Caenorhabditis elegans: one gene and its partner. The protein of the gene in region 2 purifies or fractionates together with the protein of the main gene of each other region. This does not show direct contact. Each region holds a gene or a part of one and is shown on either strand. Other genes may lie near its edges.

The links. Proteins that work in one complex are often made in the same cells at the same time.
Region 1: the proteins of wht-5 (region 2) and T04F3.3 fractionate together in Caenorhabditis elegans (co-fractionation; one large-scale study listed by BioGRID). This does not show direct contact.

What each region holds. Positions count from the first base shown.
Region 1 is NC_003283.11:11,757,129-11,761,133, forward strand, and holds T04F3.3 (Tyrosine-protein phosphatase domain-containing protein), read left to right. Parts: upstream 1-1,806; 5' UTR 1,807-1,818; coding exon 1,819-1,904; exon of another isoform or gene 1,905-1,952; coding exon 1,953-2,197; intron 2,198-2,423; exon of another isoform or gene 2,424-2,568; intron 2,569-2,614; coding exon 2,615-3,243; intron 3,244-3,285; coding exon 3,286-3,420; 3' UTR 3,421-3,452; downstream 3,453-4,005. Other genes in the region: smoc-1 (Thyroglobulin type-1 domain-containing protein), read left to right, coding at 540-624, 674-833, 880-1,346, 1,394-1,464; T04F3.5 (uncharacterized protein), read left to right, coding at 3,561-3,638, 3,800-3,898, 3,947-4,005.
Region 2 is NC_003282.8:12,335,884-12,340,999, forward strand, and holds wht-5 (ABC transporter domain-containing protein), read left to right. Parts: upstream 1-1,693; 5' UTR 1,694-1,762; coding exon 1,763-1,787; intron 1,788-1,837; coding exon 1,838-1,965; intron 1,966-2,014; coding exon 2,015-2,361; intron 2,362-2,519; coding exon 2,520-2,790; intron 2,791-2,925; coding exon 2,926-3,699; intron 3,700-3,754; coding exon 3,755-3,890; intron 3,891-4,127; coding exon 4,128-4,534; 3' UTR 4,535-4,575; downstream 4,576-5,116. Other genes in the region: F19B6.1 (Uridine kinase), read right to left, coding at 118-158; F19B6.10 (uncharacterized protein), read left to right, coding at 1,310-1,483.

The sequences.
Region 1 (4,005 bases), on a different chromosome or scaffold from region 2:
ATATCTGGGCGGGATATAGAGACTTTGAACAACCATGAGAAGTTGAACCTTCATAAGTTTATTTCTAACAACTTTTATACAATATTTCAAGAAACCTCCTGAAAAAGTTCACAAATCACTTCCTTTTCTAATTCGAAGTTCTGTGGACTTTGCATTTGAAGAGTCAACTTTTGTTTCGAAACCGGAAAATTGTATTCGATTACATCAGAATACAACATAAAAGAAATGTGACGTCGAATCTTAACACTCAGGTTCTAAACTCTCCATTTTGTTTGAAATTTCCGTTATTAAATTAACACTATAGACATCTTCTCAATTAGGTGTGAATTCCTAAACCAGAAGAACACCCACGTCACTTGAATCTTCAGCCCACACGCATTGCAGAAGAGTGCAACCTAATCTGGTTACTCCTCCTATATCCTCCGTCTTCTCCTCAATTTCACATTTCAACGGACAGCGTTTTTTTTGTTTTGAGATTTGCACATATTTCTCCAATTTTATCGTTATCTTAATTTTAATATAATATTTTTCAGTCGCTCATGCGGCCCGAACACTTGTCTTTACAATTATTGGCTTGGATATACTTGATTAATGGGAATCCAATTGTTCAGAAAGGGGGACTTGGTAGGTTTCTGATTTTAAATTTGTTAATTGTAACTTTAATGTTTTTTAGAAGTTCTGGATATTACTGACTCAAATGATTTGTCTGTTCGTCAAAGATTCGAAGAAGTTATACGTCTAGATTGTGCATCACAAAGACGAAAAGCATTAAAAAGAAAAACTGACGGAGATGCTAGAATTTATATTCCAACATGTTCTCCAAAAAACTCATTGTAAGTTTCTTCGTATACATATTTGTTAAGTTTACTCAATTTTCAGATTATATGATAAAGTGCAATGCTATGATGTTTCAATTTATTGTTGGTGTGTGGACGAACTGTCCGGAGAGCCAAAGTTAGGCTCATCGACAACAAGAGGAAAACCAAAATGTGAAGAAACTCCAACAACTACAGTTGCTCCAAAAAGAGTGAGAAGAAACAATCGGTGTAAGGAAAAGAAGAGAACACGATTTCTGAGGCGATTAGTATCAACTCTCAAATCAGAAATGATAATGAGTGGAATAAATGCAACAAAAGTTAGCAGAGATTCAGCAATTAGATGGAAGTTTAATCAACTCAATATAAATCATAATAATGTGCTTGAAAGAAGTGAATGGAAACCTTTTAAATCAGTTTTGTTAGAATGGAAGAATGTCAGACAGTGCTCCAGAAATCTTTTCAAAACTTGCGATCTGAATAAGGATAGAAAATTGACATTCGATGAATGGAGAAAATGCATTGTTCAAGGTGTGTTTTTGAGAAAAATCATCTGATTTCTCATTTAATTTTTTCAGAAATCAACCGAGTACCAGCCAAACGTCCAGATCAACTAAACCCATTCCTGTACATTTTAAGATCAGAATAATTTTAAGTTTTAATCCTCCCCCTCAATTTGCAATGTTCTTTAAAAATCTACCACGGGTAACCTCCTTCCATTAATCTATTAACCTATATTTGTCTTTCATTCACATATTTGTTTCTCAACAGCATAATAAGTTTGCTTAATTTCAGAGCTTGTAGTTGTCCGGTGTTGAAATATCGTATTTATTTGTAGAAATTGTATTTTCATATTTTCATTGTCAGTTCAAAAACAAAACATATGCATTTAAATTAAATAAAAGTGTTCACTTTTAAAATAAGCACGTGGTGATATTGAAATAATAAGAAAAAAATCACTATAAAAAGAACCTCAGAATTCAAAAAATCTATTTCGAACAAAATGGTTGGTGACGGTTCACTTTCTTCTGAATCAGTTATTGGTCTTCACACTTACAATAGTGCAGCCGATCTAACTAGTGGACATGTGTAAGTTTTCAAGGTTTTCAATAATATTTAAGCTTAATTCATTTTCAGTATGACACTTGAAAAAAACGAGTATCTATTTGATCTGAACACAAAAAACGCTTGCACTCGTCCACTGGATATTTTTATCAAACTTCTTTCAACTTCCTCTGTCGGAAAAGAGTTTTCACATTTCTCGTCTCTTCCATTGTCACGACTTCGCACTGTTGACGCTTTCTTTGATCACCCCGAATTGAATAAATTTGGAGAAATTCAAGTTTACGAGCAGACGCGTGTTCGAGCCGTTCATCGTCAAGGTAATTCAAAAACTTCAGAATAAAAATATGTAAAACTAGTGGGGCGTTACGTCATTACACATTTATTTACTACATTATATTATTTTAGTATCGCAATTTATGTCAAGTCGTTAGTGAAATTTTAACAAATTAACTGAATATTCCACGATATCTCTATTTTAGTTCCACGCCTTGATGTGGTGGCAGTACGTGAATTTCAATGTTTGACGTTCAAAAACAGAAAAAAAGCGTTAGGTCTTTCATGTAGGCGCCAAAACACCTGCCTGCCTCACCTTAAGGCGACCTTCGCCTGCATCGCGCACCGTCTATCAAAATAAATATGAAAATACCCCCTTATGGCTGTCACAAGGGACACTAAAAAGACGGAATGTCTAGATTCTGACTACCCGTCTAAATCCAATCTTCTACACATTTCAGGTCATAATTACCTCAACTCAAGTTGGATCGACGGATATCGTGAAACTCGAAAATTCATTGTCGCCCCGTCTCCTATGTCTGAAAGTGTTGCTCAATTTTGGCGGTGTGTTTTCGATCGTAATTCTCTTATTGTGGTGACACTGTGCGAGCTCCTGGATGAAAAGGGAAAACCATTTGTGCCTGTAAAGATTGGAGAACCATTGGTAATTGATGATATGACAATTGAGTTGGATAACATTCGAAAAGTTCGACCGGCAACTTACTCTTCTGTTCTGAAGATTTCTGAGAAAGGTGTCGAATCTCATAAAACAGTGATTCTTCTGACCTATAGTGGATGGGGAAAACTTGGTTATCCACAGAAACCATCTGATATTCTGGATTTATTGGCAGATATGAACCATATGAGAACAATTCTCAGAAAACAGGGACTTGAAAAGAAGATTTTTGACGACAGTCAACGGACACCAATGACATTGGTGTGTTTTGATGGATTCAGTAGAAGCTGCACTCTTGTTGCTTTGGATATTCTTTGTCAACGTCTGACAGCCTCTCATGAAATTGGTACTCCATTTGTTGATATTCTGGATACAATTGCTAGACTTCGAATGCTTCGTGGTGCAGCCTGCATGGTGATACGTTCTTTATAACTAGATTAAAATTAATATTTTCAGAAAGCCGAGCAGTTTGTCTTCTTATCAATGTCAGTTCTCGAATATGCCATTCGTCATCATTTGGTGAATGTGGAGGATCTCGGTAAAATCAGCTTGAATGGGTTTATCATTCGCAATAATCCTGAATCTTACTGACCCGTTTTTTCAAGTCTACAAATAAAAGATTCTTCAAATTTTTTATTCTCATTTTATTTCCTTCCGGATGACCTACATTAAAACTTGAGTCATTTTCCCAATTACCACCTTTTTGGAATGTCACTTTCAAGTGTCAAACAATGAATACGTACACATATCTTCAGATTTACTTTATATTTCTTCACATCTGTCACTGCCAAATATTTCAACAAATTCCAGTGAGTCCAGTAACTGGTTTGAATTTCAACAACTTTTTTAGAATCTGATTTATCTGAGAAACTATCTTTGTCAAGAATGTTATTATCTTTCAGAAAAATTTGTTAGACAATTTTCACAACGTTCGATGAAAGGATATTTCTGAAAGTTTATAGTCTTACAGGTTGGAATGGGTATGGGAATGGGTATGGGAATGCCTATGGTTATGTCAATGCCAATGCATAATCTTGTTGGAAACCCATTTGAACAAGGAATGGAAATTGTACGTTTTCATGTCATGATTTTCAATTCATAGTTCTCTAAAATTTAGGAATACTCTCCAATAACTCAACTTGTTTCATCAGTTGCTCATCTTGTTGAAATGCATCA
Region 2 (5,116 bases):
CAAATATATTTTGCAGCTGAAAAAACTAAATAAAAAGGGATTTACAGCAAGAAAAATTAAAAGAGAAAGGAATTTTTATTTAAAAAAAAACATCGAAGGAATAAATTTTGACCGTACCTCGTTGTTCGCTGCAATACCCGACTCCTTCGTTTAGACATGTTCCTTTAAAAGCAGGCCTAGAATTTCTGAAAAAACGTAAAAATATATTTATAAATTAAAGTTTTAGGGCAAAATAAGAATTTCGAAAGAATTCTAAAATTGAATGATGCAAAAAAATAGTCAACCAATTATTTTGATCCCAGTGTCCTGCACCTAAATAAATCGCAACGTGCACTTTTCAAAAGCAAACAATATTTGTGCCGACAGTGGGCAAAAACCTCTACATTGCAGAAAAAAGAGATGATCGGATGACAAAATAACGGAACAAAGGTGAGAGAAAATAAGAGAATGCAAGAAAGTTGTGATAAAAATAGGAACAAACAGTAGATTACCGGGGGAAAATCACTGTCGGACAACTCAAAAACTTTTTTAAAAATATGATAATCTAACTTTTTTGAAGAAAAGGTTATATATGAATGCAGAAAAAAATGTGTTCCATCTGGAAATAATATTTATTTTTGTCAAAGTTTTGAAAAAGATGGCCGACGTTTAACGGCACTTTTAACTGCAAACGACAACTTTCCGACACTAGTTGAGGTCTTTTTTAAAGTTATCAATAAAAAATAAATAATATTTTGAAAGGAAACAAATATTTTTCTACATTTAAATATCAATTTTAGTTTTAAAAAATAAGATTATCATATTGAAATATACAGAATATCGTAATGTTATCGGGCACAATTTTCACTTAAATTCAGCATTTTTTTTATCAGTCAAGCCTGTTAGTGTATATTTACAATAATATTTTTAAATTCAATACATAAATATGTATGTCACAAGTTTAATTGAAAGGAAATGTTTCATGTTTTTTCCCGTAACCTTTCAATAAATTAATCACCCAAGACTTCTACAGTAACCCAAGGAATAGCAATAGAATCGTTATTTAAAAATTGACTTATGAAATCATTGGCGCCATGATTACATGACACTTAACTATATACGTAACCAAGTTCCGCTGATGAGAAAGAGAAATGATGTTATGAAACTCAGTTTCCACCTGAAAATCAGCTGATAAACAACGCGGCAAGACAAACAATCTTTCATCAACACAAAAACTTTTTTTTGCTTCTTCTGTGTTCAAGTTTCAAAGCTTATTAGACACACACCACGTCAAGATTTCATAGATCACAATTGGTAATACGAATTGGATATGGGGATGGTATATGGATCAATGAGTGAAGGTTATGGTTGCCGGTTGCCGAAGATGTTAGACCTCGTGTATTTCAAGCCTGCCTACTTCATGCCTTTTTCTTACCGGTCTAGGTACCTACTGCATGCCTACCTTTGTGACTACCACATTCCTGCTTACACACCTACAGCATGAAGGTTTATATGCCTACCTCATGCTTGCCTACAAACCTACTGTATACCCTATGAATATTATAACCTGTATGAATATTTTTTAGTGATGATATTTAAATTTGAAATAAAGCTTTTTTGAGAATTTTTCTTTTTAACGTGACATTCTGAAAACCTAAACCCCTATTTTTTATTTGTTCTAATGTCAAAGGAGGGGGAAATCATTGAAAATTGATTTATTTCTCAACGAGTGCCTCATTAAGCAATCGGTTTTCGATATTAATTCTAGCGGAAAATCGAAAAAATGGATAGCAAAAGCGAAGAAGCTGGTAAGATTTTCAAGTTTTCTTAACTCTACGATATGAAACGAACCTTTCAGAACCTTTGCTAAAACCTAAAAATGTGGAAGACGAGGGTCTAATTACCTCGCTGGATGTGGACCCCACTCAAAAGTCACGATCTCCAACTCCGAAGCCAACTCCGATCCCGGTTCTTATCAATGATACGGTATGAACCTTACAGACTTTTACACCTGGAATCTTCGATAATTTTTCAGCCAGTAGCGTCTGAAATTGAACAAGTGGAGAAGGAATTGGCACATTCGAGTGAAAGATTCCGAAAACCAAAGACTCTTTCTGTGACAAATGACACTGAGTCAGCTCGAATTCCGTCCCAAGTAAAGACAAATGCGAAGAAATTGGTTTTTCAAAACATTCAGGCAGTTGTTCTCAAAAAGAAAGGTGTTCGTCAGGAGATTCTGAAAAAGATTGATGGAGTTGCAAGACCAGGAGAGCTCACTTTTATTATGGGATCGTCTGGAGCCGGGAAAACTACGTTGTTGAATATTCTGACTGGCAGAAACTTGAAGAACATTGAGACTGATGGAGATATTATGATCAACGGGTTAGTGGGGTTTGCTTAGGCATAACCTTAGGCTTAGGCTACGGCTTAGGTGTAGGCTTAGGCTTCGGCTTCGGCTTAGACTTAGGCTTTTCTTTCAAGCTTCCGTTTAGGACCTGAGCAATATGAACCTGAGCATAAATCATTTTTCGCTATTACAGCCGTAACATGATATCAAATGAGATGAAGAAGCTCAGCGCCTACGTTCAGCAAGATGATGTGTTCATCGGAACCCTCACAGTCCGAGAGACTCTTCGTTTTGCTGCAAAACTTCGTTCACCGTCAGCACTTGGCGCCACCGAGTTGGATTCAATTGTCGATGAGCTTCTTGTCATGATGAGCTTGAAAAAGTGTGAGAACACGAAAGTCGGAACCATGACCGAGAAGAGCTTGTCGAGAGGAGAACGGAAGAGATTGGCGTTTGCTTGTGAGGTGAGCAGTGGAATTTGGTGATGCTTAAAAGTAGAGTTTCCAGGCGTCAGGCCCTAAAACCGTGCCTGCCTCCCATGGAAGCCCTACTTGAAAGTTGTTCAAGTGAATCTCGAATAGGAAATTTTACATTTACAGATTCTCACCGATCCTCCAATCTTATTCTGTGATGAACCAACTTCTGGCCTAGACTCATTCATGTCCCATCAAGTAATCAAAGCTCTCCGACAGCTAACAATTGAAGGGAAAACAGTCATTTGTACCATTCATCAGCCTAGTACATCTGTCTACCATATGGCGGATCAGTTGATCCTTTTATCGCAAGGACACGTGGCATATGCTGGACCCGCTAAGCAAGTTGATGCGTTCTTTGGTAGATGTGGCTATCCGATTCCAAAGTTTGTGAGCTCACCGGATCACTTTATGCGTGTGATCTCTCACAAATCTTTCGAAACGGAAGACGATTATAACAAGAGAATCGAGAAAATCGTTTTGGAACATGACATTATGAAGAAGGAACAATCAACTCATTCAACACTGAGCTCGTCGCGTCGTGAGCATCCTGAAACTGCACCTTTCACGTTTCCTCGAACATGGACTGCTCAGTTCTTCTTCATCTTCCAAAGATCTTCGATTCAGCTGTGGCGTGAACGATCGGTCCTTTTGGTGAAGCTTATTCAAACTTTGATCATGAGCATCATGATTGGATCAACGTACTATGGCCTGGAAATCGACAAGAAATCGTTGCCAAGTTTCAAGGGATTTGCATTTGTATCTGTTCAAATGATGCATATGTTATTCATGATGCCAGCCATGACAGTGTTTTGGAAAGATTATCCAGTTGTTGTCAGAGAGTTTCAGGCGAATATGTATTCTCCAAGTGCTTATTATTTAGCCAAAACTACTGCGGATGTGAGTTAATTTCAATAGATATCTGGAAAAAAATTTGAAAAATTTGGAATTTCAGAGCATCCAATATCTGGTGTTCCCTGTCATTTTTAGTGGTATTCTACTTGGAATGACTAGTCTTCCCTATAGTGTTGTGATTATTACTAACTACTTGATCATCAATATTCTTCTCAGTTTGAATGCTTGCTCAGTTGGTAAGTCGATAATTATTAGGGCGCACTTGCTGGCCTCTTAGCGTTTAAATGTTCCAAATTATAATTGCGTGTTTCTCATATTTTAAAATGGAAGAGAAAAGAGAGCGAAAGTGGAAAACTAGGCCAGCGTAGTCATATAACCAATCAGCAGGGTAAGGGGCGTGACTAGGGTCTCTGATTGGTCGGCGCTGAATTGTAGCGCGCGAATTCAAAATTTTCTATATACCTAAATTTCAGGACAATCATTTGCTGCAATGTGTGGACACTTGGCAACCGGAATGACAGTTCTTCCAATCGTCTGTGTGCCTTTAATGGTTTTCGGTGGATTTATGATCACTTATGAAGCAATTCCTTGGTACTTTTTGCCATTTGCATGGGTTTCGTGGTACAAATACGGATTCGAGGCGATCACTATTGTATATTTCAATCACAATAGCACCATTTCGGGATGTGAATCCAACTCGTCTGTTGCTACTTTGAAAATGTCGATTGACAGTAATTGTACTACTGGAATTGAATTCATCAAAGCACAAGCATTTGAGGAAACTCATTTGTGGTTGGATTATACTGTCATTTTGGCTGTAATCTTGTTCTGGAAAATTCTTGGAGCTCTCTTGTTCACTTGGAGGATCAGACGGGCTTAGAACTGTATTTTTGCTATGAGAATGAAGTTTTAAAAATTGAATTTCATTTTTTAAACACAAATATTTAATCACAAATCAGCTGATAAACAACGCGGCCAAACAATCTTTCATCAACACAAAAACCTTTTTTGCTTCTTCTGTGTTCAAGTTTCCAAGCTTATTAGACACACACACACCACGTCAACATTTCATGGATCACGATTAGTAGTACGAATTTGATATGGATGATATATGGATCAATGGTTGACGGCCAGGGTTGCCGGTTGTCGAAGATGTTAGCCCTCGGCAACTTTAGCAACTTCTGATCTAAATTTTGTTCTGGAAAACATATTCAGACAATCTGAAAGATGCAAAAATTTCACCTTGATTTAAAAAAATATTTGAAACCCAGGTGTGCGTTTACAAAAATTTTGTTGAAATTATATATTCATATAAATTTCGATAACAATTTCCAGGTTTTGAATCAAATAAGCTTGATTTTTTGTGCCTAAAATTGTCAAAATGCTTGATGACTTAGACTGAAAGTCTGAATCAAACAGTTTTGTATTATAGAACATTACACCGATATTGGGGAAACTTTCA